Linked DNA regions of Rhinolophus ferrumequinum. The protein of the gene in region 2 interacts with the protein of the main gene of each other region in a pairwise test. Links are inferred from orthologs where the notes say so. Each region holds a gene or a part of one and is shown on either strand. Other genes may lie near its edges. The genes, in order: CNNM3, FHL3, TTLL10 and RFX3.

Region 1 (7,076 bases), on a different chromosome or scaffold from region 2:
TGAGAACAACTGGGACACGTGCATGGAGGCTGGTCTTGACGTCACTGAGACCGAGGGGTCTGGGCAGCTGTGACCAGGGACAGATGCTCCCAGCGGCAGAAGAGTGTGCGTGCTCCTGTCACTCGCTAGATCAAGGAATTTCCAAGAACTGCTGATGGGCCCTCCTGGTGAGTTGGGGCCAGTGAGACTCTCACCCCTGTCCCCATTGGTTCGCCTCATATCTGCCCCTTTGGACAAGTCTCCCCTTGTAATGGGGCTGACCCAAAATGTTAGGCAGGGTCTCCCACCTTTCAGATTGCTCGCCCCTGCTCCCTAGGCTGCTCTCACTTTTACCAAAGGTTTTCCCCTGGGTGGGGACAGCATCTCCATTTGAGGTGACTTGGCTGCGATACTCCTTTCAGTTCTAGGAGGGAATCTGGTCGTGCATTGTTAGCAAGTGATACCATACCCTCCCCAGCCCACAACCAAAGTCTAGTCTCAGACAGTGACCCAGGAACCCTGCTTTCCAGACTCCCTACTTCTAATCCCAAACCCCAAGGCCTCTTGGGGGCTGAGGACTGAGGACATGTAGGAAGCCAGCGTCAGCAGGTTCTGCATGCCCTGTCCCCTGGTCAGGCTTACCTGCCTGTTCACACACGTCCAGAACCCAGGAAAGATTCCCACCTCGAAGGCATACTACTGGCAGCCCTGTGTCCCCCATGTCGTAACCCTACAATGAGGCTTCATCCTGGCCTGTGCCGAAGCTGGTGGTACTGGACCCCCAGAGCTCCACGCCCACAGGAACTCTGGCCCCAGCGCCTTTCCCTGGGGCCGAGTCAGGCCCTGCCACACAGCTAGCTCTAGGCTCCCCATCCCTGGGAGGCTGTGGGACCAAGGACCGTGTTGGCCCTTCTGTTGGGTGGCACAGTTGCTGGGGCCCAAGATCAGGTGAGGGGGGCTCTGCAGGCCTCGGGCCTGAGTATTGTCTGTTCACTCCTTCCTCAGCCAAGTGCTCTGCGCTTCAGGTGCCTGGAGAACCCTAAGTCTTGGGACCAGGAAATGTCTTTCACCAAGTATGCCTGCCCCTGGCCAGTCACAGAATTTATTCCTAAAGGTCTGGAGAGAAGGTGATGACACCCATGGGTTCTCAGACACCAGACCTGTTTCCTGTTGGGGGGACCCCTTAGTTTTCTACAGGAGCAGCTTGCTTCCCGAGTGCACACGGGAGCTTGCAAAGTGGTGTTCCTGAGACCTGAGTGCCAGGCGGGGCCAAGTGCATTGGCCTGAACCGAGTGTGTGAAGTGCAAGGAGCGGGCACACACACTTCCACAGCTACCTCTCTGCACACACAATTCCTATCAACAGCGCGCCCTCCGCCCTTGCCCTGCCCTTCCCTTCCCCATTTATAATCTCTTCTTGCAGAGGGTTGTAATGACTTCCAGATATTATTGGTCCATGACTTCTTCCTCCCAGTGCAATTTTTCACTTCCTATTCCAACCTCTGGTTCCTGGGCTGAGCCCTACCTTGGAATGGGCCCGTCCCTGCACGTCTGCCCGTGTGAGGGAGAACCGTGCAGATGGCCTCCTAAGGGGTAGGCAAGTCACAGCCACCATAGCAAATGACTCTTATTTATTTTGCGTAAGATTTTAATTTGTATATTTTTGTGATTTATTTTGGCATTGTTATGAGTTTGACTCTCGGGGAGTTTTGTTGTTCGACTCTTGTGTCTTTTGTCACAAAATGATAATATTTGCTAAACAATATATGGAATTTATTTTTTGATTGGTAATAAAAAAATGAAACATGAAATCTTGGTGAGTCTATGGTTTACCTATTTGAGTTCCATCAACATTTGGTACCTCTCATAGAGCTAGAAGTGGCTGTCACCTGTGTCAGGACAAGTGGCAAGTATTCCATAGGAGCTGTTTAGCAGTAAACAAAGAGGCAGAAATGTAATTTACAGCACATACATAACCAAGGCTGTTGCCACAGGAGCTGTTGGACATGCATGATAAAGGTGCTCAGCGGCCACAATTGGGAATCCCGTCATGAGAGGGACACCTCAGGGTCTCCTGCCTGTGGGTCCTGGATGGGCAGTTGGAATGAGCAAATCGGCCCTTCTCTCTCCCCTGGGGGCTGAAGGAGAAAGGAGCCTGATCCAAAAAACAGGATCACATTGTTTGGTAACATGCAGTTGCCTTTTCGTCCACCCATGGGCTGGCCGTGGTCTTGAAGTGGGAGAGCTCATCCCGGAAGAGCCTGCCCAAGGCTGAGTGACCTCACTGCGTCCACTACTGCAGTGCTCATAGGTACGCATGTGACTGAGTGTGTCAAGGACTCAGCGACTCAAGCCAGCTGTCTTCACAGCAGGCAAATCGGGAAGAATGTTTAAAGAGAGGCACTTACTTGGGTCGGCAGAAAGGACATTCCAGATAAAAGGAATTACATGCAAAAACTTGTGTATAGGTGGGAAGAGTAAATTTCATCCATCCACCTGTTCCACACCAGGTGCCAGCAACCCCTCAGTCTAATGAGGCAGACCTCCTAGGAAGATAAGTCACACAGGGACCCCTGGATTTGCTGTTACCTCTACCAGGAACACTCTTTCCCCAGGTCTTTGTGAGGCTCACCTCCTGCTCCTTCTAGGCCTCTATGCACATGTAACCTCCTTAGAGAAGCCTTCCTTGTCACCCTCCATAAAACAGCTCGGCCCCAATCCTAACTGCCAGATATTAAAACACGATTTGTACATTTCCTGTTGTCCCCATACTAGAACCTAAGTTCTAGGAGGGCAGGGACTTTCTTATTTCCACATAAATCCCAGCACTAGAACAGGACCTGATACACTGCAGGCACTCAATGCAGGAAATACCTGTTGAATGAATGAATGAATGAATGGGTCTATAAAATAAGCACTACATGCTACTAGGTAAGAGCACACAGCTCCCACAAACTTGACCCACTGAGTCAAGAGTCGAGGAAGACCAGCTCCAGGAAGTGACGTTTGCAGACTTGAGAGAGAAGCAGCAATCAGCCAATGAAGCCACAATAGCTATGCATTTAAAACTCAAATATTTAAATAAAACATGGAAATACCTTGAACCAAATAACCAGTAAGGCAAATGGTCTAGGGAGAGTCAACGAGGGACTTGAAGATCAAGTGGCAAGTATGTCCACTGATGCTGTGACTAACCAGGGGGCGGGCAAGAATGGCACAGGCGGGAGGAAGCAGTCGGAGGAGTCCTGTGAGGCCTCTTACTGTTAACAGGAGGGCACTCCTGAGAAGCTGCCCTGCGCTGGGTTCTTTAGGTCTTCGGGTATTGATGGTTTTCTGAGTGTGATCCAACTGCTGCAAGTGTCCGTACAAAGGTTTTCCCAACAAAGTGAGTTATAGGTCATTTCCCCAGGGAGCCTGGGACCAAGGAAGAAGTAGAACTGCAGTGACAGATCCAGGCATTCCTGAAACGAGTGGCGAGGATGGGACGGGGGTGTTAGGTCGCGTCGGACCTCAACATCCTCGTCGAGTCACACGCTTCGTTTTTCTCCTGGAAAATAATAACATGAAGTAGAGGCGAGGGTCCAAGGTTTCCTTATTTTCGCCCAAGGGCTGCGTCTCCGTCCCCGGACCTACAGCAGGGTCGGGCTCCATCAACATGCATCTTACGGAAGCTTAGCTTCCCGGGGCCCAGTCCCGGTTCTTCCTTCGGCCTTCCCCGCCTTCAGGTCGGCGGTTCCGGGGCCCTACCTCAGAAAGCCGCACGTCTCCCTCACCGAGACCTCCGCCTACTGCTGCCCGCCCCGCGTTCCAGCCAGGGATCTCCCAGAGCTGGAGTCCGGCCTGTGTAGTGGGTGGCCACACCTCACCCGGAGCCCCTAGTCCACCCCGTGGGCTGTCAGCCCCGCCCCCGGCCGGTCCCGACCCGCGCCGCTTGTTTACGCCCAGGCGCAGCCTCGCCCGCCCCCTGGGCCCGCCCCCACGCACCGCCCATTGGCGAACGGGGCACGAGGCCGGCGCTGATTGGTCGGAGGAGGCGCGAGTCTGGCGCCGATTGGCCGGAGGAGGGGGGAGGTAGGCTGCGCAGAGGCCGAGAGGGGGCAGCGGGCGATGGCGGCGGCGGCGGGGCGGCTGGGCTGGCTGCTGGCTGCGCTCTGCCTGGGCCACGCCGCCGGGGAGGCGGCGCCGGGCCCGCGAGTGCTGGGCGTCTGCCTGGAGCAGGCCGGGGCCGCGGGCGCGGCGTGGGCGCGCGGAGGGGAGGTGCCGGCCGCGCCGGAGGCCACCTTCCGCCTGCGCCTCTTCGGCTCGGGCTTCGCCAACAGCTCCTGGTCCTGGGCGGCCCCCGAGGGGGCGGGTTGCCCCGAGGGCGGGCCGGCTGTGGTGCCCGGTGAGGCTACGGCCCCGACGGGCGAGTGGCGCGCGCTGTTGCGCCTGCGCGCCGAGGCTGAGCGCCCACAGTCGGCGCTGCTGGCGGTGCGCGGGGAGCCTGGCGGCACGGCTACCGGGAAGGCGGCGGCCCCCGCAGGCGAATGGCGCGCGCTGCTGCGCCTGCGCGCCGAGGCCGTGCGCGCGGAGCTGAGCAGCGAGACGGCGGAGGAGGCGGCGCCGCCCTGGGTTCTGGGCCTGGGGGCGGCGGGGCTGCTGGCGCTGGCGGCGCTGGCACGGGGCCTGCAGCTGAGCGCGCTGGCGCTGGCGCCGGCCGAGGTACAGGTGCTGCGCGAAAGCGGCTCGGAGGCGGAGCGCGCGGCGGCGCGGCGCCTGGAGCCGGCGCGGCGCTGGGCGGGCTGCGCCCTGGGCGCGCTGCTGCTGTTGGCCAGCGTGGCTCAGGCGGCGCTGGCGGTGCTGCTCTACCGCGCGGCCGGCCAGCGCGCCGTGCCCGCGGTGCTGGGCAGCGCGGGGCTCGCGTTCCTGGTGGCCGAAGTGCTGCCGGCCGCCGTAAGCGGGCGCTGGACGCTGGCTCTGGCTCCGCGCGCGCTGGCGCTCAGCCGCCTGGCGGTGCTACTCACCCTGCCGGTGGCCTTGCCGGTCGGGCAGCTGCTGGAACTGGCGGCGCGGCCCGGGCGGCTGCGCGAGCGCGTGCTGGAGCTGGCGCGAGGTGGTGGCGACCCCTACAGCGACCTCAGCAAGGGCGTGCTACGGTGCCGGACGGTGGAAGACGTGCTCACGCCGCTTGAGGATTGCTTCATGCTGGACGCCCGCGCCGTGCTGGACTTCGGCGTCCTGGCCAGCATCATGCAGAGCGGCCACACGCGCATACCCGTTTACGAAGAGGAGCGCTCCAACATCGTGGACATGCTCTACCTGAAGGACTTGGCCTTTGTGGACCCCGACGACTGCACGCCGCTCAGCACCATCACCCGCTTCTACAACCACCCGGTGCACTTCGTCTTCAACGACACCAAGCTGGACGCCGTCCTGGAGGAGTTCAAGCGAGGTAACGTCTGGGAATCGCGGAGGGGACTCGAAAGCTTGTGCCCCGCACCCCCTATAAAAGGGGTCGGGGATTATGGAAGCCTCTGGAGAGCAGTGAGACCTGCAAGTCCCGTTTTAAAGACGATGACGGCCTTGCAGCTCTGAATGACCTTTTGAAATATTGAAAAGTTGTCCTTGAGAGAGGGACACAGTGCTAAAGACAGCAAAATCCCCCTTTACCTGGTAGGCCCCCAATCTGGGGAGGTATGTCCACTAGGCTCTAACCCCCAGCTCTTTCCCGCTCCGGGTCATTTTTGTGGGTTTTGTAGCAGGTCGAAGCTCTTGGATAGAAACTAAAAGAAGGTAGAAAAGAGTGTAGTCCCCAGGTCCCTGGAAACTTACGTGCCCACACATACAAGTGCACCTCAGAAGTGGTGAGGGTTCGGTTCCAGAGCGCAACAAAAAAGCGAGTCCTAATCTGTTTGCTGGTGGAGGGTCTTGCCTTTAATTTCTAGAAAACGCAACACCTGTGAAGTACAGTAAAATGAGGGGTGCCTGTGATGTTTTCAGGTCGTCATTGTTAAGGTTGCTGATGGGCTGCTGCTTCCTGACTGCAGAAAAGAGTGATTCAAAAATACCTTTCTGGGGGTGTGGAACAAACTGCCACTTGGATTTGAATTTAACCAAAAGCAACTTCATGGGCGCTAATTCAGTCTTCCCTTCAGCTGTCTTTTTTTTTTTTTTTTTTAACTTCCCCCTTTTCTAACCCTGAGTAAGGTCTCTCACATTCTCCCTTAACTCCACATTTGCATTCTCACCTTTGACCTTGGTTTATCCCAGCAACTCTAGGGTTGCACCCTCCAAATGTGAAGGTGTGGTTTCCTGTGCAGTCTTCTCATGGCCCGGTGTGGCTGTGCTCCCAGAGCTCCTTGACCGCCAGCCATCTGTGCTTCTCAAATCCGAACTCCTGCAGGATGAGCACAGGGGACACCCCAGGATTCTGGGTGGCCTTGAGGCTGGAGGATGCATAATGTGAGACCAGGAAGCCAGCAAAGCCCTTGAGCTTCCTGGCACCTAGGAGGTGTCCTGGCTCCAGGCCCCCCCTGGGAGGTGTTCTGTGAGTCCCTGACAGTTGGGGAGTCTGGGCCTTGTGACCTTGTGAGTCCTGCATTAGCGCTGTGTAAAGCAGACACTAGTGGGCGCTCACGTGCATCATCTCCTCTCTCCTAGAGGCTTGCCTAAGGAAGATTGTCACCTGGCTACAGTACTTGAACTCCTATGCCTCTGATTACCTGGGAGGCTGCTTTGGGGGCAGCTCTGACCGCTCTGCTAGAGAATCTGTTGGCTGCACCCCGCTGCCTCCCCAGAAAGTGGCCATGCAGCCCCTCTTTGGGGCGGGGAGCACTGGGTGGGGGCCTGACAGAGCCTCTTAGTGGTAAATACTCCCTGTGGGCCACTGTAGTGTTCTGGGCAGTGGTGTCCTGGGGGCCAGCAGTGCTGGGCCTGGAGTCAGCGAGGAAGGGTTCTTTCATCCCGCTGCCTCCCCGCTCGAGACCCTGGGAAGGCAGGACTTGACACCAGGATGACACCTGTGAGCAGAGCACAGTGGCGCCTGAGGGTGTTTCATGATCACTGACTGGTGTGGAGACCAGTGATTCAGGGGTGCAGAGGAGAGAGGCTGGCAGGGTG
Region 2 (7,341 bases):
TGGCACCTGGGAACACGTGGCTGGCACTGCCGTAGGCCGAGCTGGGCGTGGAGTGTGCGCATGCGCAGTTACCTAGGGCTCTACGCTTGTATTTACGCGGTGTATTTAAAACTAGGAGCTGTGTGGATTTTGTGTGTACAGGAAAAGAGCACTCTGTAGAGAGTGCGGACCTTAAAACCATGTCTGGCTCTGCCATTCATTGGCTGCGTGGCTTTTGACAGGTCGCTTGATTTTAATAAGCATCGTTTTTCTCAGCCATAAAACAAAGATAATAGCATGCGCTGCTTGCCTCAAAGAGCCATCAAGGCACTCACAGCTGAATGGAGGAGTGATATCATGGCAGTAGTTATAAAGTTCTGAGCCTTACACCCTCAAGTGAATGGCTGGCTGACAGCATGAGTGTCAGAGGCAGTGCCATGTAAATGATTAGGACCATAAACCATGGAGGTGTGTTCTGATCCTAACTGCTACCAGCCAAGAAAAAGTTAGCTTCACTCGACCTTGGTCTCCTCCTCTGTGAAACTGAGGTAGTAATACAGAATTATTGTGAGGATTAAATGAAATACAGTAATACCTCGGTTTTCGAACGTCTCCATTGACGAACATTTCCCCGTTGAGGAACATTTCCGTTTACGAACGCCGTAAACCGGAAGTAAATGCTTCAGTTTTTTAACACACCTCGGAAGTAGAACATGTCACGCGGCGTCCACTGAGTGCAAGATCCTGAGGCCTAGCTGTCGGCTGTTTTCAAACGTTTCAGAACTCGAATGGTCTTCCGGAACAGATCACATTCGAAAACCGAGGTACCGCTGTAACATGTTTAAAATGCTGTGTTCACCCCTTAGCAAGTTCTCAATTTTGAGCTATTACTGTTATTACTAAACCTAAATGTGAGGATTGAGAGAGGGTTGGGCACTGCAGAGCACTCCAGAAGCATTGGGTTTAGTTTCCACCATGTAAAGCTAGATTTCAGCTGTAATTACATCCATTTCTCACGACAGGGCTCACTCTTCCTGCTGAGGAGCTCTGGGGAAATCCTCTCTTCATTCCCCAGAAGTGGAAGTCCAATAGACCAGTGGGCATGATAAAACCTAAAAGTAGCTGAGATCTGAAGTGTGAAAAGTTTTTTTCTGAGTCTGAGGCTTGCCCAACTAGGGCCACATGCATTAACAAAATTCCATCTCATTTGTTACTTAACCATTGAAAGACAAGGCCCTTTATGATCTGGCCTATGCCCACTTTTCCAGCCTCCTCTTGATTCAGAAGCCTAGCCATTAGTCAGAGTAACCTGGTGGCAGCCCCAGTCACTCCTGCTGCTTCCCTTAAAGAAGGCGTTGAGTAATAGGTACACCCAGGAGAAGACAGCTCTGCACACTGGAAGGGATAAAGAAACCTGGAATCCGCCTGCAGGGGCTCTAGGCAGTCCAAAGGGTAAGGGTGAGCAATATACCCAAAGAAGGAAGGAAATTTTCTCACTGGGGGAAGGAGGCTTGTGGTTACAAGCATCAGAGAGTGATTCAGTACTCAAGAGGAAACCACGAGAGGCCTGTCAGTCATCACCCGAGGCCACCTTCTGAAAGCCCTTCCAAGATGAGAGAACAGCTGGGAGATCCTGAGCAAGCCCCCTTCCACCACAAGATAAGGGTGTGTGGGGACCACCTGGGTGGGTAAAGGGACAACCAGATCCCACTCACCCAAGGCTGGTCGTCCAGGACTAAGGCTCTGCTTCCAGCCCCAGCTCAGACACACCTGTTCCTCAGAGATAGGGAGGGAGGGGGACTGATAGAGAACAGGAACAGGGAGTCCATGTGGCTGATCCCTAGACCTCCCTGGGGCATGTCCTCCTGGGTCAACAGAAATAGAGCGGGCAGGGAAATATGAGCCCACTGGAGAGCTAGAAATGTGGAGGAGAACCAGAGGGGCACTTACAGTGTAGGCATGAGAAACAACAATGATAAACAGCCCCTGGCCTACAACAGTCCCTCCCCCAGGCTGGGCCAAATCAGAAGTCGCTTAACTGGCCTCCAGACTCCAAGTTCATCATCAGCAGAACCTTAACACTTGACTGTGAAAGGGAATGTGTGTGGGTGTCCGGGGTGGGGAAGAGGTCCCATATATTAAATACCTACTGTGTGCTCTCATCCAATCCTCACATGAATGCTATGAGACAAGAGTCAACCACTCAACAGATGAGGAGCCTGAGGCTTAAAGAGGTTAAATGATTACAGAGGCTTAGAACCTAACAGTTAAGCTTCTTTTTTTTTTTTAGCCTAAGGAGCTTTGATATTTGATTGGATTTGAATCCAGGCTTTGGCATTATTAGCTGTGTCACCCTTGGCGGGTTACTTACTCTCTCTGTCCCCTATTTCCCCATCTTTAAAACAGGGATAAAAATACATATTTCATAAAGTTGCTGGAAAATTAAGTGCACTAATATATGTAAAGTGCTTAGGTACTAGTACAAAGTTAAGAATTCAGGAAAGATGGACTCTTGTTAAGGCTTTTCAGCAGAAATTCAAGCTGTGAGTAAAAAATTAGAGACCCCCAACTATACCTTTGATCCACCTTCCTCACTCACTCATAACTCCTCCCTTTCTGAAAGCTGCTCACCTGTGCCCTCCCCATCACAGCAGAACCCTTTTGGCCTCTAACTTCAGCTACCGTGTTTCCCCGAAAAGAAGACCTAATAGGAAAATAAACCTTAGCATGATTTGTCAGGATGACATCCCCTGAACATAAGCCCTAATGCGTCTTTTGGAGCAAAAATTAATGTAAGACCCGATCTTATTTTCGGGGAAAATGGCAGGCAGTCTTCCCTGAACCTCCTGGGGCTGGGAGTCTCCTACACCTGCAAGACAAATCCCAGAGAAAGGGCCCACCCATGGTCTGACTGCTCACTCCCTGGATTCCAGATAACAGATGCCTATGGTCCAAACTGGGAGGAAAGGGGGTATCCAAACTGAAGCAGTGTCATTCATTCATTCATTCATTCATCAGATATTTATTATCCGAACATTAGAGTAGGTATTGGAAAAGTGGTGGCGAACAGAAAGGACCCATTTCCTGCCCTCTTGACACAGGAACAACAATAATAAACAAGCAATTAGTTAATTTTGAGAGGAAATCTGGTCTGGAGGGTGACTTGGGACCCAGGAAGGCAGGCATGTGATTCAGAGATGGGAGAAGAGGATACTAAGGAATCCCAGCCTGGAAGGGAAAGAGTCTCTGCTCTGAGAGTTTGGCTGGACCCAGCCTGGGGGATGGGAGAGGCTCTGAATCTCTACTCTAGATGCCGAAGGTTATTTCCAGGGTTGGTTTGTTGTTTCATGTTTTGCAAACAGCACAGCAGAGCCTCCTCCTTCCTCCCCCCACCCTTCCAGATCAAGGCTATTTATTCCTAGTGACAATCCTGAGGATCCCAGGGGGGCTGGCCTCAAGGACCTAGAGGGGCCTTGTGTCCCTGGCAGGCGCCAGTCCTCCCTCCCGGGCACAGGGAGGAAGCCAGAGAGTTGGAAACTGTAGAGGTGGGGGAGGAGGGGTTCCCTCTACTTCCCTGCCCTGTGCCTCAACCGCGCACACTCCTCACCCCGCTCTCCGAGAAGCCCAAAAATCATGGGGCCAAGGAGTAGAATCCCCCCTGGGGCCTCAAAGGTCAAAACTATTCCTGGGCACTGTGGATACCTAAACAGGACTTCGCGGTCCCAGGATGCACCTGGAGGTGAGGTGGTGACTACTTCTGTTTTTGCCAATCGGAGTTGTGGAATAAAGCCCTTTGAAGGTCAAGGCGCTACTGCAGGGCGGAGGTGGGGTCCTCTCTTCACTCCTCTTTCCAGAGAACACCTAGGTCCCCATCGACAGGGCCGTGATGGCAGAGTCAAAACCACCCTCTCTTCCAGGCTAGATTAAGGCCCCTTTCACAAACCCGGGCTGAGTGTGACCCCCTGGGGGTAAATTGGGAGGAGGGGGACACAAAGAGGGCATGAAGACTCTTGGTCCCCAAAAGGACCTTGATCAGCTAGCTGGGTCCTGTACCCCTTAACTGAGACTGAATACAGCAGACTCCCGCTTGAGGCTGGGGGGGTGGGGGTGGGGAGGAGAGTGGAGGGAGCAGGGAGCGAGGGCAGCAGAAGCGGCAAGGAAGGGACAGGGGCGGGGTCCTGGCCGCCCAGGAAGGTTGAGAGAGCCAGGTTAGGCTGGGCCGGAGGAGGGGGACTGGGGCCCCAGTCTAAAAGGGAGGTGGGGGCGGGGTCTGCCCCCCGCCTCGGGGACTAGGGGCCGGGGGCGGGTTCCGCACCCCGCGGGCAGGGGCGGCCGGGGGCGGGGTCCGGGCGGGGCGGGCCCCCGCGCACACTTCCTCGGGAGGGTTGGGGCCGCGCTCTCAATCGCCCACACGGTCCGGTTGCAGCCGGCAGCTTCGCCGGCAGCTCGCTCGGCCTCCGCGCGGCCCGGCCAGCAGGTAGGAGCCGCCGAGGGACGCGGGCCCGGCTTCCCGGCCCCCCTCACCCTCACCCACGACGAACGCCGCTCCCCGCTCCGGCCGCCGGCTTCGAGGTGAGCTCTCTGCCGAGCGCGGCTCGGATCCCAGCTCCTGGCCCCCGCCCTCCGGCTGGGAAGGGAGCGGAGGCGACCCGCCCCCTGCCCCCGCCTGGGTCCGGCTGCGGGCGCCTAGGGCGCCGATCTCGGGAGATCGCTGAGCCCGGGTCTGCACTGCAACCGGTACTCCGGCGGGGCGGGCGCTACTGTGAGAGTTGGGCGAGGGAGGGGGCCAAGTTTGAAATAGAAAAGTCCGAGTCGAGAGAAAGACCGGAGGGTTCTGAGAAACTGAGTCTCCCAGAAAGCCGGGTGGAGCAAGAGACCGAGACTGAGACCGGGACACGAACGACAGGCTTACACAGGAGGCTGCAGTTATCTAAAACAGGGACTCCACTTGGGCGTAGAGACTCTGAGAGACTGACCGGAGGCATAGGGACGGAGGCAGGTTTTGTGGAGCATTTTAAGAAAAGGCATACAATGACCCTAGTGAACACGCCATAGCGCCCTTTCCAGGACCTTGGGCAAGTGAGGGTCCCAGAAGCCTGAGCTTCCTTAGCCTTGTGGTGAATCAGCTTCTGTGAGGCCTACAGAGACATTCAGAGACTGGAGACAGAGACACTCAGGCATAGAGAGAGGCTAAGAGGTAGAGAATTGGGGTGGGGTGGGGTGGAGACCAAGGCATTCCTCCCCATAGACACACTAAGAGAGCAGACGTGGGTGTTCAGAGGTAGAAATCCACGGAGGGAGGCTGCTTGGAGATAGCCAGTCATAGAGACAGAGACCCACAACATACAGACAGCTGCTGAAGTGTGCAGAGACAGGCACAGGGTGAGTGGAACAGAGCTAGTCACCGAGAGACTGAGATTTAATGGAGGTGCCCTGACAGCTTCCAAGACAGACCCTGAGAGACTCAGGCCCAGAAGATTGGGAAGCAAGGATGTGGGAAAACACAAACTCTGGGCTGAGTCCCCATGACGAGAGGAGCTGAGACAGTAAGACTGAGCTCAAGAAGGAGCCCCAGGCATACACCAAGACAGCCCCAATTTATTTTTAAACTCATCTTGGATGGGCTGCTTCAGCCCTGGGGGACCCAGGGTGAATGAACTATTCCTCTCGTCCCCAGAACAGCTGCTGGATCCTGCTTCCCACCCCCTCCCCCTGCCCTAAATTGCTGTGACTCCCAGGCCCCGTGGGGGGGAGGGGAGAGTTTGGGGGGGGGCGGTTGGTGCCTGTGATAGCAGGGGTGGGTGTGGGGGGAGTTCAGTTTCTCCCCTTTAGTCTCCTGTCAACTCCAGGGAGCTGGAGAAGGGGTCTGTTCAGATCCTGACTCACAGCTGTGGGACCTGGCCAGGGTTCTCCTGGACATTGGGGGCTGCAGGGGGGCAAAAGGGTTGAGTAGTTGGCATGGGTAATTGGAAAGGCTTCTGGGTGTCTTCCAGTCTCAGGGCTGGCAGCTGGGGCGAAGAGCTGGGTTCCTGCGCTACTGATGTCATCCAGCATCTCATGTCCTCCTGCTCCTAAAGTGCTGACCACCCCCTCCACCATCCCTGCAGCATTTCCAGGGAAAGAGAAACAGGAAAGGGCCCCTGGGCTCTCTGCTACCTGAATGACCTTGAGCATACCCCTACCCTGTCCCTGGCCTCTGTGCTCAGCTGTAAAATGGAGATGACACACTATCCCGCCTGCCTTTTGTGAGATCTGCTGAGATGGTGGGTGGGTGTGCACTTTGTGAGAGGCACAGCAGCATGCAGGTGTGTGCACCTGTGTACCTGTGTGAGGGGTGTCAGTTATGCTGACTGGAGTCGGGCTAGCCTGATAGCCTGAGCCTCGTTGGTGCCCCCAGCAGAACAAGGGGTTCCTCTTTGTTCTCTCCCTGGGCCTACACTGAGAAGGTCCAGGTCAAATTCTGGGTGCTCCCCGACCCAGGCCTGGCTGAGTACCTGTTGTCTGAACCCAGAATGAGGGAGGGGCTAAGAAGAACACTAATAGGCTCCCTTTACTGACTGCTAACTAACTAACTGCTGGGTGCTTTCTAAGTATCTTAACATTTAAGCCCAACAACAACCACCTCAGGAGGTAGGAGATAGTGTTAGATGGGAAAATAGTCTCAGAGAGCTTACGTGACTTGCCCAAGATCACCCAGGCTTATATTTCACAGCTCAAGCCCTTGCACACCACATGCATGCCACAGCCATTTATCCAGCCATTCGGAGCTCCAGGAGGTTCACTGAGGTGCCAGCTGTATGTCTGGGTCAGGTGTAGGGGTGTGTGTGTGTGTGTTGGTGGGGGCAAGGGCTGAGAGCCATCTGGCAGCCTGAGCAGTCTCCCCTGCACTCTCCTACCAGCCATGAAGGAACACAAGACTGGCTCCCTCAGTTCCCCCAGCCCTGCCAGGGAAAGGGGGAGGCGGAGAATGGGCAGAGACAGGTGGGCCTTGATAGTGCCCTTCATTCTGTCCTCACTAGAGCCCAGCTGGACAGACTAGGGCATTCTGGGAAGGAAACAGAAGTCATGCCCATACCCTATTTGGGGTGCCCCTGTCTCAGAGTGGTGACTGCCTTCCAGGGGGCGGGCCCTAGGGTAGCCTGGGCCTGGGAAGGTGGCTGATGCTTTGGGCCAAGCCAGGAAGGAAGGAAAAGGCCCAGGGCACTCTGGGACAGAGGCATGGCCATACTCACTCCACCTGTGTGGCCCCCTGCTGCCCAGTGGCTGACAGCCCAGGCAACCCTCAGATGTTGGGCCAGAGGAAACCCAGGCCCGAGTGGTGGGGGGCAGACTGAGAAGGGGGATACCGTCCACCCTACAGCA
Region 3 (6,830 bases), about 26 Mb from region 2:
GGGAGGGTCTCTTGCCCAGGCTCACGCTGGGAACACGTGTGGCAGTGGGTACCCACTTGCATGGTGTCACAGAGGTGAGTGACAAACAGGACACAGGCCAAACCAGGGCAAGGCTGCAGGCCAGGACCCCTGTGGCCCCACGCACGGCTGTACGGGACGTCCCCAGCCTGGCAGTCCATGTCCCCAGCCCAGTGGCACCATCCGCGCCCGGCCTACATGCTCTGTGCTCTGGTGGGGACGGGCCTGTCCTGTGATCCATGCACTTCTGTAGCTGCTGACGGCTTTGGCCATGACCCATCCGAGGCCCTCGGGCTCAGGGGCTCCTCTTCCGGAACGTTCTTGTTCACGGCCTTTGCTCGTTTCCTCACTTTGTTTTGGAGTTTCTGTCCTCTTCCTGCTAAGTGGCAGAACTCCTTGTATATCCTGAGTTGTTGCCAAGCAGCAGCCTACCCGTCTGTCTCCTCGTACCTGCCCCTAAAGCAAGGAAAGTCTGTGAGACGGATCCTTTCAGGGACTTTGCTTCACCTTTGTGCTTGTACTTTGTATCTCCCTGTTTGGCCCCAGAAAGATGCTGGTCAGCCAATGACGGGTATGACTTACCACGTGGAAGGCAACCTAAGACAGGTGGAGGCCCGTGGGGACCCACAGGAGAATCCATGGGGTGGATAGAGGTGGGCACAGCACCCCCCCTCGCTAAGGAGAGCCTCTGCCTCTGTGGCTGCATTCCTTCCCACAACCTGCAGGGGAAGAGATTCAATGGTGTGCTCTCCATCTATTCATATGCATAAAGGTTTTGTCCCTCGGGGAAGTACAGACATCCTGAGACTTATGGTCCAGCTGCCTGCAGGCAACGGTGATTGGCTTGAATCAGTTTCCTATTATGATGTGTGGGATTCACAGATCTTGAGATTGACAAGCTTTATCTCCTTTACTTCCCCACCTAACTAATAAAGGTACTGTATAGGCCTCAGTCCTTGAGGCTGGAGTCCCTTGGTCCCGCTTACACTCTATTCATGGCTACGATCTTTTCTTAACCCTGCGCCGCCCTCCTTGCTCCCCACACACTGGGTAACGGTCCTTTTGTCCCTGTCACTCAAAACGTCTCACTGTGCTGCACTCAGCCTGCTGGTGATGATGTGAGGTGACGCGGGGCCTGTTTGATGTGTGAGGTGAGTGACGCGGGCATCGTTCTCTGTTGGCCTTCTGCTCCGGTGACCCTGGGTGGCCGAGCCGTGACGATGTGGGCTAGGTGTCAGGAGCAGATGGTGTCGCTGGTTGGGGACCCAGACGGTCAGACCACAGCTGGCCACGTGTAGCTGAAACCCCGGGAAGCAGCACCACAGGTAAGGAAAGGGCAGCTGTCTTCTCAGGTCCTGTCATGGCCGTGGGCCGGGAAGCCCTGTTTTTGACACCATCAAATGCACCATTTTTTGCCAGGTGGTCTGTGTGTTGCAGGGTTTGTTTGGGGTCTCCTTCCCTGCCAACTACCAGGCCACCAGGCCCATGGGTGGCTCCATATCAGGAGCCTGGTCCAATCCTGGTCACTTGGTTGGTGCTGTCATTGTACATCAAATACGCTCGAATGGAAAAGTCTGTGCCTACGCCTCCCGCTCCCCTGGCCATCAAGGCGTTTTCCCAGACCTGCTTGCTCTGTGTAGCTGTGGAGCTTTGCTATGAGCTATGAGGCCCTGATATCTGGACAGCTAGCTCCCCCCACCCCACCGCCACACACACACTTCTTTTTAAGGCTCACTTAGTTATTCACGACTTTTTCTTTCCTAAATTCTAGAGGAAGTCTATCTAGTTCCTGAAAAGCTCTAACGGTCATGTTGAATAGGATCACACGGACCTCACGGGTTAACGGGGGAGAACTGGTCGCTGTGTAGTACACAGCCCCCACCTCCATCCCCCCCGGGAACATGGTCAGCCTCCACAGCTCCCCGACACAGTCTGGGTGGCTTCTCGCTTGAGTTAAATCCTACACACTTCATTGTGTCCCTTGCTGTCGTGAATTATTTTTTTCTAATTGTTTATTGTGGGTATCAAGCAAGACTATTAATTTTGTTTTCATTTTTTAAAATTGAGGTGAAATTCACATGGCATAAAATCAACCATTTAAACTACGTTCCAGTGGCCTTTATACATGCACAATGTTGTGCAACCACCACCTGTATCTGGTTCCAGAACCTTTTCATCACCCCCAAAAAAAGCCCGTCTGCATTATGTAGTCAGTCCCTGCCCCCACCCCCAGCCCTCCGGCACCCACCAACCTGCTTTCCGTTTCTGTGGATTTACCTGTCGTGGATATTTCGTATAAATGGATTCATACAATATATGACCTTTGTGCGGCATCCTTACAATACTATTGATGTTTCATTGAGAAATATAACATAAAATTTACCATTTAAACTATTTCTAAGTACAGTTCAGTGACATTAAGTGGCTTTCACGCTGTTGTGCAAACATCACCTCTGGAATTTCTCATCCTCCCAAACTGGACCTGTCCCCATTAAACACCCACTCATCCTCCTCCGCAGCCCCTGGCACCACCAGATACTTTCTGTCTTTATGTTTGACTCCTCTTATATGCCTTTTTTACGTGGGATCACAGTGTTTGTCCTTCTGTGTCTGGTTTATTTTGCTCAGCACAATGTCTTCAAGATAATACTATTGATTTTTGCAGGTTGGTCTGTTATTCAGCAATGTTATTGGACTCTTATTCTAACAGTTTGCCCATCAATTCTATCGGTTTTTCTAGGCAGATGATCATATCTTTTGGCAAGTAACATCAGTTTTTTTCTCTCTCCTCTTACAAGCCTTACGCCCCTCCTTTAGTTTTCTTCCCTTACCTGTTGGCCAGGACCTCCGATACGGTGTCAGGCAGTAGCCATGATGTGGGGGCGGCCCTGACCTGATTCAGCTCCTGAAGACAACGCACCACCGCTTCTCCACTTAGTGTAAAGTTCACTTTGAGGTTTCTCTGGAACTTGAGCACGTTAGTGATCTTCCCGCCCATTGCTAGTTTGCCAAGAGCTGTTTGTAAAGTCACAAATAGGTTTTGAAATTTATTAAAAGCTTTTTCCACATCAAGCGAGGAGATCACATTTTCTCCTTTAATAACCAGGCTTGCATTCCAATGACAAAGCCCATTTGATCACTGTGTATTGTTTTTAATACATTATTGCATTTGATTAAGAACCAAACCCTACCTCCCCTTCACGGCAGGTCCCAGATGCCCAGGCCCACCTTCCCACAGCACTACCCAACCATCCCCTGCCCTGGCCTCCCCTTAGCCTTTGCTCACCTGCAGGAAGGAAGGTGGCAAAGCACAAGAGGCAGGGAAGGCTCAAGACAGCACAACTGAACACCAGGCCTCCAAACACATTGGAAGGCCACCCTCTGCCCCCCATGGACAGCTGTGAGCACCACACAAGTCCCTCCCCTGACCTCCTAGGCATCAGAAGGCCCCCTGGAACTTGAGAGACCACCAGTGGAGTCCTTGTAGTGACTATAGGTTAGCGTGTTGTGAATTCTAATGGCATCTTAAATGCTTACACCATTCTCAGGAAGGAGAATGCAGGCAAAGGGAACAGAGACAGCATTTCAGAAAACAAATCATCACATGAAGGGGAGCAGGGAGCTTGTCTCATCTTTTCCAGTGGGAGACATGACAGGAGGGGCTTCCCACCCCACATAGAGGACACAGAGGAACTGACACGTTCCCTTCCCAGGCTCTGACCACCCTGGGGACAGGAGCAGAGAGGGAACCCACCATCCCCTGAACAGTCCGTGAGCTCTGACCAGGAGCAAGTCGGTACTGGGCACTGAGGCTACAACAGCAAAGGCACGGACCAGGTCTCGGGTGATGGGAGGCTTTTGTCTGGGGGCAACACGTGGACTGAACAAAGGAAAGGAGGTGGTGGTGAGGGTCTTGGGGAAGTATTCCCAGCAAGGACAATGGCCTTGGGGCAGGTATTGGAAAGCGGGGGTGAGAGCCAGCGGTGGGCAGGTGCAGGGAGCCGGTATGATATAGGGAACAATTATGTCCCGGGGGTAGGTATGGCTGGCCATGGGGCAGGGGCAGGGAGTGTGGGGTCTTCCCAGCTGGCCAGGGCAAAGGATCAATGTGTGGGGGAAACCACAAATGTTAGGAGTTGGCAGAGGATGAGATGCCCCCATCCTTGGCAAGAGTGACAGGGCAGCGAACGAAGGCCAAGAGAAGACATGGAATGACGAGCGGTCTGGGCCAGAGAGGGTTGGGGGACATGGTGCGGGAACCACAAGCACGTCCCCAGACAGCCAAGGGATCAGAGGTGTTGTCTGTGCCCCGGGCAAGCACCAGGTCAGAGGCCAGTGATCTGGAGGCCCTGGGGCCTGAGAGCAGGGCGGGTGTTGGAGCGGCACCCCCCACTGGTCTCCACCTGGAGACCCCCTGCCCACTCCGGTTTTCCGTCCTGCTCTGCTTGCAGGGACATCTCAGATGTCCCGAGTAGAACAGGCAGCGCAACCATGAGGCTCTTTCAGCCACGGGAAGGCCAGGGACATCGGGGGATGGACTTCCCGACGTCCAACAGCGTATGGTGGTGGAGACACTGCCAGGCAGCTGGGGAGGACCACCTCGGAGCAGGTCTGCCGAGGTGTGTGCCTGACACATGTGAGCGTGTGCACGTGTGTCTGTGTGCGTGTGCAAGGGCATGCATCTTCCATACACACGCCACCAGGGGGGTGACTGAGGACCAGGTCCTTTGGCCGCTGAGGACACCGTCTGGCCCTGGGCTGGGAAGGCAGTGTCTGGAGAAGCCTGTCCAGGTCCCAGGCTATCACAGGTTCAGGGAGCCTGGGGTAGCTGCAGGGCCAAACCAGGTAGGCAGGTGCCCCTGCCCCCAGGCACCAGGCCCCTTCAAGTCCCCAGGAACAGGCGTGGGGGCCAGGAGGTCCTGAGCAGATTAGCTTGGCTCTGGCTATGGAGCAGGCCTTGCCCACAGCACACACTCAGGTGAGCTGTTTCTGTAGCCTCCTCCGAAGACCAAAGGCTGCAGCTCACGGTAGACCAGCCACCCCTGTCCTTTCTCCCCAGAAGGGGAGGGACACTTGTGATGCCTCGTCAGGTCAGCACAGGTCAGCACGGGGAGCTGACAAAAGAGGCTTTTCCTTCTGGAATGAAATGTGGCTGAGAGGAGCCCATGAGCTGAAATCTGCGACAATCCCCAGCTCCATTTGAGAGCTCTCCTGAAAGCTGGCAGTCGGCGGCACCATCTCTGGGAAGTAGACGCTTACCAAAGGGGTTGGCAGTGAGCGGGTGGTGGGAGGCAGACCCCTGGCCGCCCACTGTCAGGTGGGTGTGAAGAACACCAGCAGGGCTGGCCCTCGTCTACCATGACCACTGCTGACACTTTGGTGCGCTCCCTACAAACTTTCTGCTGTGCCTCGATGTAAGTAAATAGAATGTACATATATGAATATTAGGTTAAAAACCAGCTGTGCTCTTTCCACCCAAGACCATGGCATCTCCCCTTTATAATCACATCTCACGGACGTGGCTTCGGAGCTGTGTGTCGTGATTTTATCCCGCCATACTAAGGTCAGACAGCCAACGTCCCGGACAGGTGGTGGCCACGCTGACTTCACAGATGAGCCACAGGGAGGCTGGTTGGTCATCACACGCCAGCCAGGAGCAGGAACTGGGCCCCTTTGGTGCTGCCCCTGGGGACCCTGGGTCCCCCCTGTGGGCTAACACTCCAGGGAGGCCAAGGGGACCCTGCTGGGGGTCCCCCTCAGGCCCCCCAGGACTGGGGGGCCTCCTCAGTGATGCCCTGTCCCGCCTTCTGCTCACAAACCAACAGCAGCAGCTCTAGGGTCTGTGACGGGCTTTTGCTGATGTGAAGGTGGCTGTGTGGTTCATATTTGTACCAGGGAATTTGGGGACTGTCTTTTGCAGGCGAGTGGCCCTTGCTGGGACCAGGCTTGTCACTCTCTGGCTGGCAGTTCTCTGGAGGACTGTGGGTCAGGCTCTGAGGCCCTGAGTCCCAGGACCCGGACTGCATAGGAGCAGATCTGGACCGGTGGGCGGCCCCAGCTCTCAGAGTCCGCACCTGCCCAGCTCCCAGAGGGCAGGGCTGGACCAAGAACACAACCCCTGCCAGGCCTCCTTGGCCCCGGGCAGCACGAGGGCCGAGCAGGGTGTCCTCACTGGAATCCGAGGCATGAGTCCTGGATAAGCACTGACCAGCCCAGGGCCAGACCTGGGGGCCCAACCCAGTGCAGCCAATGGCCACCTGCCGCTGAGCTTGGGATGGGGTAGAGGCACGGCTGTGGCCCAGGGGCCAGGCCCCTTCCTGGCCCCTGAGTCCATGTGGCTGCGGTCCAGGCCAGGACTTACCTCAACCCCCAGGGCCCCCTCCAAGGTGAGCAAGGCCTGGGGCTGGTGCCACCCGGAGAGGGCAGCAGAGTCCCCAGGGGCTCCGGGTGGGCACACGCTACCCCTGCCCACCACTATTCCTGAGCTCTGGGGCAGGTGGCTGCACTGCACCCCAATGTTGGGCTAGCAGTGGGTCGGGGGCCATTGATAAGCTGGGAGGTCTGCCCAGCCAGGCCGAGAGGCCACCCACCATCTCAGGCCTCGCTGAGAGCCAGCCTCCAGCGTCTTTCCGGAACACAGCCCCAGTACGATGGGGCTCCCTGGCGCCTTTTATCGCACCATCAGCACGCAGAGGCCCAGGCGTCAGGACACATCCTATGCCAGCACAGGCCCCTGGCCCAGCTCCCAGCGCCAGGCTCCCACGCCCGCTTTACAGGGGACAGCTGTCCAAAGCACCTTCTCCGTGGCCTCC
Region 4 (7,766 bases), on a different chromosome or scaffold from region 2:
GGAATGATGCATTTTAGAAATACATTTTAGTTTACTATATTACACACATAAATATACTACAAAAATATGCTGATACCGGTTAATTCAATTCACAGGCAAAATAATCTAAAAGACTGAGATAGTCGTTATGACAATACAACGAATCACAGATATTCAGCTACTAAAAACAAGCCACAAGTGACTCCTATTTAACAGTTTTAGTTTTAAAGAGTGGTCATTCACTTTCAGAGATTTCTATTAGTCTAAAAAGTGAGAACAAAAAAAAAAAAAAGTGAGAACACAGAAGAATAGCAATACACAATATACTCCCTTACAGGAAAAATATCACAGAAAGAATAAACGAAGTGCTAACTATTTACCCTTCTGTTAAACTTAAAAAATTGTAATTTGCTAATATTTCTGGTTATTTTCTCAATCCATATGATTGATATTGACATACTTGAGCCCAAAGCATCTCTAACAGCAACTTTTATATCACCTATATGCTTTTAAAAAAGGATAATAGAATTCAAATTAAGTTCTGCTTTCAAATCAACTTGTGAATGAACGTCTAAATTATTGAATCTGAGGTCATTTTCATGAGTGAAATGCCTCAAAAAAGTTCTTGGACACTGCAAATAAAAATATTAAACCATAACATTATAGCATATAATCTATTCAGCTGAAAACCCATTATGTAAATGGCATAAGGTCTGAAACTGTCTCAAGACAGCAAAACTCCTATTAACTTCAGAGAGAGTTTATAGGACTCAGGAGCTTCACCATCCAAAAGAGTTCAGGCATTTGACACTTATCTGAACAGAAGAAAAAAAAAATAACAAGTTAGTATTAGAGATTTGCATGGAAGCCAAGTTGGGGAGGGGGTGAATATAAAGGAATTCGGATGCTCTGAGAAAGACTTCTTTCAGAACTATCATCCTCATTTAAAATAGCAATCACAAGAAAATGTATTGAAAAAGGGAGAGTTAATAAAGAAAAAACAAAAACAAAACACAACTCTTATTTTACAAAGTATTGGCCTTAATAGTATTCCAATTACCCAACCTACTCTTTGACAATCTCAAGAATAATTAATACTGTTACATTATTCACAGTGCTCTGTCAGGTAAATCAATATGTTTACTGTTAGAAAGAAGATTATTTAAATAAGTATTTTAAAATTCCAAATTGGAAACTTCAGTATGTGCAAATATAATACTATATTTGTTTTAGCACACATTCATTATCAAAACTCTTTACTGATAATAATCTATTAATTAAACGTTAGGCAGAAAAATGAACACATTTACAGGATCTGGAAAACTGCGTTACCTCTCACCAACAGCCATACTACTTGAGGACTGATAAGTATTCAAATGTACAGAGAAAAAAATAGATTTTTTTTAAAAAGAGACTTAAAAAGGAGAAAGTTCTCTCCTCTCACCATGTTTAAGTCACTGCCCAAAGAAAACCAAAAATAAAGAAGAGTATGTTAAGTACACACATGCCTAGATCTTAACAACCATAAAGAAAGTGAAATATACACACGTTTCAAGTTGAGAAGCTTCATACATTCTTTATGAACAACTTGACTTCAATTTCAACTCTCAAAGAAAAGCGAACAGAGAAAAAGATGGAGAAAAAAAAAAACTCTTTAAAGTACCATAACTGTCACAAATAACACTGTAAACTGAGTTCTCACAAAGCTTCCTCATGTCCTTTCCCTGTTTATCACACACAAAGTCTTACAACCACAATGAAAATTGTTAACACTCCACTGTGGGGAAGGAGGTTCATCAAAGTGAAATGGAACCTCACTACTACCCCTCCCATCTCCTCATGAAGGATAAAGCACTGTCAATAACTACTAACCCAAGTATCACTGATGCCCTGCATCCGGTTTAAATCACAAGCGCGCGCGCACACGCGCACGCACACACACACACACACACACACACACACCCCAAAAAAAGAGAGGAGAGAGACTTTAAAAAAAAATCTTTTCCAGTACAGCGGAGTCCAGCGTAGAGGCCCCAGGTTTCAGTGTGCAAGGGGTGTGGGGGGAGAAGAAAGGGTGGGGGGAGAGTGCTGAATGGATATTAAGACTGTTTGCAGCACAAAGAAAACAGTTTTAAAAGAAAAAAGAAATCCGTGCAGCTGATGATGGTAAAAAAAAAAAAAAAAAAAAAAGGCAGCCCATTTAGCACAAGGCAAAAATAAAGGGAATAGGCGGTGGGAAAAGTTCACCGTTGTACGAGGATAAAAATAACAAAACCCTTAACAAGGCCCCACAAGTGAACAACAACAACAAAACACCACCTCTTGGGTACCCCCCCGCCCGGCACATTGTTGTCTATTTCGGTTTTGAAAGAAGCAGGAAACAAGCAGCTTTGAAAAAGAATTAAATTAAAGAAAAAAACCCTTCTCTCTTCACCTGACTCTCTTCTTCAGATCAGACCAAGGGGAGAGCTCCACCATCCGCAACGGAAAACTGTGGCTCCCTCTCCCGCTCATCTCGCAGCCCCCAGAGCTCCCGCTCCATCCCTGAAGCGCGGCCGCAGAGGGCCCGGGCCGGCCGGCGGGCGGGCTGCGCGGCGCCCACACCCCCGACCCAGCCGCGGCGCGCACGGTCCATTGTAAACAAGCCCGGGGGACGGAGCCCCTCGGCTGCGGCGCCGCAGCGGCAGCCCCCGGTGTCAGGAGTGAGACCCCAGCACAGCCACAGTCGGCTCGCACACACGGACACACACGCACGGACACACGCGTTCACACGCATCCACACGCTCCCACACACATGTAGAGACCGAAGAATATTCACCTTGGCTGTGGATTATTGTGGTGTTGTTGGTGGGTGATGGAGATGGTGGTGGTGGGGAGGAGGAGGAGGAAGAGGAGGAGGAGGAGGAGGAGAGGAGTAGTTGTTGTTGATGGGTAACAGTCGCCAGGACTACGGTGACTATGGCGCTTGATTCACAAGGCAACGGTTGCTATAACTCACAAAAGAGAGAGAGAGGGAGAGAGAGAGCGAAAGGGAGAGGGAGACACTCGCAAGGGGAGGGGTGGGGGAGGGAAAAGGGGAGGAGGCGGGCCCCGAGAGTCGCCGGAAGGGGCGGGCTCAGCACCATGACTGACAACCCCAGATCCCGGGCTGGTGGGGGCACAAGGCCGGGGTTCCGAGTAAGGCCTCCGAATAGAAGCTCACGGGTTTGGCAGGAGTTAGGGTCACCCCAGTTCTCTCAAAGGTACGCTATTACCCGCGCTGGCCAGGTTGGACGGGGAGTTGAGGGGCGTGGTGCGAGGGGTACGTTTTGTGAACCGAGAGCTGCCAGTCCCAGCAGCCAGCGTTTAGCAAAGGAGCCCCCGAGTCGCGAGAAGGTAATGGCTAACCCACGGAAGGAAGGTGGTGGGGTCGATTCCAAACACTTCTCTGGGCAGACCAGCAACAGCTGGGGAAGGGCCCACTTTCAAGTGCGCCCTCCGCCCCTTTGCTAAAGTGTCACTTCCGGGGCGGGGCTATCGGATGGTCCCGGATGTGCCGCCGCTTTTATTTATTTTTTTTCCCTTTTTCTTTTTTTCCTTTTTTTTTTTTTTTTAATCCCCCTTCGTTTCTCAGGCTACGGCGGTGTTCCTAGTTGTATCCGCCTTATAGCATGCCTTGGCCCGTTAGGGCTCCGTAGCCTGCGCTGCACTGGAGGGTCCGAGCCGTTTTCGCCCTCCTGCTTTCTGCGCCCTGGCCCGCTCCCGCCTCCTGAGGCCAAAATTCCGGGGAGAGCGGGCGGCGAGGCGTGAGCGAGCGGCCATCGTCGCCATCTTAGAGCAGATGAGCCGCGCGTGTGGGCAGCGCGCCGGCCTCCCGCGGTCCCGCCGCTGCGTGGCGCGCAGAGAGAAAGGTCTGAACTCATCCAGCCCTCATTCCAGAAGGAAAAGCGAGGTTATCACTCCGTACCTATGGGGCGGGGAGTAAGTGCTAGAAAGCAGCGAAAAACTGCCCTGCCGGGACGATGTGGAAACGCGTGGCGGTCCACCTCCGCGAAAGGCGTTGAGGGGTGCGGTAACTTACACCTTCCGAGGTAGCACCCAGTTAGTTTCTAGTTCCGCGCTATCTTCAGCCCTTAAGTAAAGTGCTCGTCCCTCTTTAAAGTTGACCGAACCGGGATTTGAGCTCAACCCCCGATTCTATTGCTTTCCTGGCCCTATGCCCCGGTTACTTGACAACCTGCTGTATTGAGACAGACGAACAGGCTTCCTTCTGTAGTGGATGTTGTTACCACACTACTGGCCATCTCGAACCGCTGCCCTTGGTATTGCACAGCCTCTGATACTTAACGGTTCAAATATAGTCGTCCAGTTCTCTGCAGACAGGACTCCTGCAGGCACATGCCCCCAGGCCCAGCCAGTACCCCAAACCTCCAACACAGGCAGCTAAGCTGCTTATCCAAGACAATAACCTTAGAAGTAGAGCCATAGGAAGTCCGTCCTATTCTTGAGGCTTAATTTTTGCACCTGCAAAATAAGGGGTTTGGGCCTACATAAATTCACAGTGCTAAAATAATAATAGCGACCATTACTAAGGTCTTAACACTGCCGCAGTGTTTTACATACATTATCTCATTTAATCCTCAACACTATTAGGTACATAATATTTTAGAGAACACAGGCACAGTCTTAAAAGTCAGTGATTTTCTCTTAGGGCTCTGTGTCATGGGATATTAGGGAAGGGTAGTTTGGAATCCACTATTAATAGATTTAAAAAAGTGATGTTGCCTTTGGTAATCTTATAATGAGTTATAGAGGTTCTTATAATGTGTTACAATGTAATAGTGAACAGTGGTGAGCACAGTGCTAAAGCTGAAAGGTTGCATGACTCACCACGGTACTAGTAGCCCTTCTAGTCTGAGACAAATGATAATGTGACCAACAGCAGTTCAATTCTTCAAATTTAGAATAAAAATTGCAACATACACATGGGAAATAAGGTATGCATTCCAGCTGTATGAAAACTGGTAGTCATTATGAATATTCGTTTTATTATATTCCTATAATGGTGTACGAAACTGTTTGCTCACACTACACAGCTCAGAATAGCTTTGCTTTTTTAGTGCTATTGTCTGTTGTGGTTAGCCTGCCCCTTCCCTCACTGTCAGCTGTTGCTTCTTAACTGCTGTCAGTGAACAGTTCTGTTAGCCTCCCCACCCTTTTAATTTGCTGCTTTTAATCTACAGGCAAGAAAACCACATAATGAAGCTTGAGCAAAACTGTCTCAAGAGTATAAACAGGTACTTTGAGGAACTCTCCTTTAGAAAAAGTTTGCAACCTTTGTGCAAGGACATTATAATATCAGTTTTAAGCTGCTTAGAGACTTTTTTAACCTACTTTCTGATTTGGCTTTTTCCTTAGGAATAAATTTCCTTAAGTAAGTTATTTAAAAGTTCAGATTTAGAACTTCTAACCAGAGTGAGATTAATATGAATTTTTCAATGTTACTACCACACTGAATCAAATAAGCCACCAGTTCAAGCTATAGATTCAAAAACATGTTGGATTATATATATATGCATGTATTGTTTTCTGCTATATAAATAGTTATGAAAGGACCTAGAAATCTGTTTGCCTATAGTCAGTTCTGATTGGATCTCCTTTTTCGTCATTTTTAAGCTGTATAGTTGCATCTTCATATATGTTGTGTATATATTTCAGAAATAAATTATTTGTTAAGTCACAGAAAAGAGCATTGTCTAACATTTATTATCTGTTATAGTGCATTACACACTGGGCTCAATGATAAAAGGTATCTAACCAAAAAGTATCTTAACAGTTCTTGACAAATTCGATAAACTGTTAATGCAGTAATTATTTGTTGAGTACCTAAAATGGACCAGACATAGTTCCTGTCTGTGAAATGCTCAAAGTCAGTATCTATGAATTTAAAATGTTATGTCCTTTGAACTTGGATTGTTTTTGCTCTCAGCTCAGAGATATTAGACAGTTAACAGATTTGTATCTGAATCATTTGAAAAATACAAAGCCCTGATTATTTAGGTATAGATTATATACTTTATAAATTAGTACATTCTCATGGGGAAGTTTCCTTTTCAATATTATCTATTAGGTTATTTTCTCCTGTTGATATCTACCGAATATTCAAGGACTGACATTAATGCTTGTAGAAGGAAAAGCTGCCTATGAAAAGATAAAATACTGATATGTGATGGTTCACTTCCAAAAAATTGTATGTATGAGAGTTTTGAAAATTAATGTATTGGTCTGTGGCAGCTTACCACTGAATTTGTGGGGAATCCTTATTATAAAGCAGAAGTCACATCTACTTAAAAATTGTATACTTCATTATAATACCCAATTTTCTTAAATTAAGAGACACCTAGAGTTTTAGTTCTCGTGAAATGAATGGTTTCATTTCAACCATTTATTGACTACTTAAGATATGCAGAGCACTGGGGAATTAGACTACTGGATTATTAAATGCCGTAGATCTGAAATTCTGTGGATATATGATAATTGTCAATAATAATAGGGAGTGATAGAGGCCAAGGCAATTCAAACTATACATAATTTGCCACTCTTCTCTGGAGCACCCCCAACTTTACCCATACCCACCCAAAGTATATTTTGGTTTTGAAAACATTATAGGTTTTGTTTTCTTTGTTTTTTTTCGTAGATTTGTCTTTCTAATTGTGTTTTATTTAAGTAATACAAACCAAGTATTTACTCAGCATTCCTAAGTATGTCCATCCTTATATATAACTTGGAATTATTTTTTTACCCCAGCACAGAAAGATGATAAGTAATAGGTAGTAAGATTATCCTTGATAAATTTTCAAATATGTGTCAAGTGTGACCATACGGTAGGTAATGTTGATTTGCTGCTCAAAGAAATGAGTCCTGCTACTTTCTAATCCTGAATACATCTAGAAACTAAAGAAATTGCTTTGAGTGAACTCTAGATGATTATCGAGAATAACTTTCTTCTGAGATAACATTAGGAGTACTTGAGAGATTTTGGTGCTAACTCTGACCAGGTTGAGAAAGTTATGTAAACTCTCTAACAGTTAAGATTGGAGGTGGAAGGAAATATTTATAAATTAAGAATTAAAAGACTTGAATGATCTCAATTCTACAATTGTAATTTTCATGAATTTTCAGAGATGGCACATCAGTGAATTGTTTCAAAATGCTAAACATGCGTTTATGTAATACGTCTGTGAAATTAGGAGGTTTTTTTTTGGTGGAGGAAATACTAATATAAATAAAGTTAATAGATACTTCTACCAGCATTTCATTTCTTAAGAATTTTGTGAACCCCAAGTAGACTTTTACCAGGCAATGAACTTGAACTCTATTAGAGGTTAACTCTTATAATTTAATCAGCAATTAATGTCAATATGTGCTGAAAAGCTTTTTATTTTTATTCAATTAATATCAAAAATATTTATCAAAAATGATTTTATTTGAGCCATAGTCTTCAACTGCCAAAGAAATTCTTAAGTTGACTCTCTCTTTAATTTTTTTCCCCTTTAATGTACAGTCTGGAAAAAACATCTCCTAAGTTCCTGTCGGGCCATTATTCCTATTTTAAACATATTAAAAGTATATTCCCCCTGGAATACATACATCTTATCCTCCCTCCCCCCACCATCACAATACATTATTAAGCCTACATTTAAATTTTTTTTGACTAATATGCCATTGTTAAAGCATATAACTGAATTTTTTTTACCCTTCTAAATATTTTTATCAACTACTAATATAAAGAAAAAATAAAAATCATT

Evidence for each region.
Region 1: the proteins of FHL3 (region 2) and CNNM3 interact in binary tests that used the Homo sapiens proteins (3 or more experiments, as listed by UniProt). The two-hybrid records come from large-scale screens. The link is inferred for Rhinolophus ferrumequinum from reciprocal best matches to the Homo sapiens genes FHL3 and CNNM3.
Region 3: the proteins of FHL3 (region 2) and TTLL10 interact in binary tests that used the Homo sapiens proteins (3 or more experiments, as listed by UniProt). The two-hybrid records come from large-scale screens. The link is inferred for Rhinolophus ferrumequinum from reciprocal best matches to the Homo sapiens genes FHL3 and TTLL10.
Region 4: the proteins of FHL3 (region 2) and RFX3 interact in binary tests that used the Homo sapiens proteins (3 or more experiments, as listed by UniProt). The two-hybrid records come from large-scale screens. The link is inferred for Rhinolophus ferrumequinum from reciprocal best matches to the Homo sapiens genes FHL3 and RFX3.

What each region holds. Positions count from the first base shown.
Region 1 is NW_022680356.1:2,261,900-2,268,975, forward strand, and holds the start of CNNM3 (metal transporter CNNM3), read left to right. Parts: upstream 1-4,070; 5' UTR 4,071-4,085; coding exon 4,086-5,409; intron 5,410-7,076. UniProt on the Homo sapiens protein: Probable metal transporter.
Region 2 is NC_046292.1:26,548,414-26,555,754, reverse strand, and holds the start of FHL3 (four and a half LIM domains protein 3), read left to right. Parts: upstream 1-4,338; 5' UTR 4,339-4,551; intron 4,552-7,341. UniProt on the Homo sapiens protein: Recruited by SOX15 to FOXK1 promoters where it acts as a transcriptional coactivator of FOXK1.
Region 3 is NC_046292.1:317,775-324,604, reverse strand, and holds the start of TTLL10 (inactive polyglycylase TTLL10), read right to left. Parts: upstream 3,017-6,830; coding exon 2,850-3,016; intron 1-2,849. UniProt on the Homo sapiens protein: Inactive polyglycylase.
Region 4 is NC_046295.1:32,635,377-32,643,142, reverse strand, and holds the start of RFX3 (transcription factor RFX3), read right to left. Parts: upstream 3,012-7,766; 5' UTR 2,798-3,011; intron 1-2,797. UniProt on the Homo sapiens protein: Transcription factor required for ciliogenesis and islet cell differentiation during endocrine pancreas development. Essential for the differentiation of nodal monocilia and left-right asymmetry specification during embryogenesis.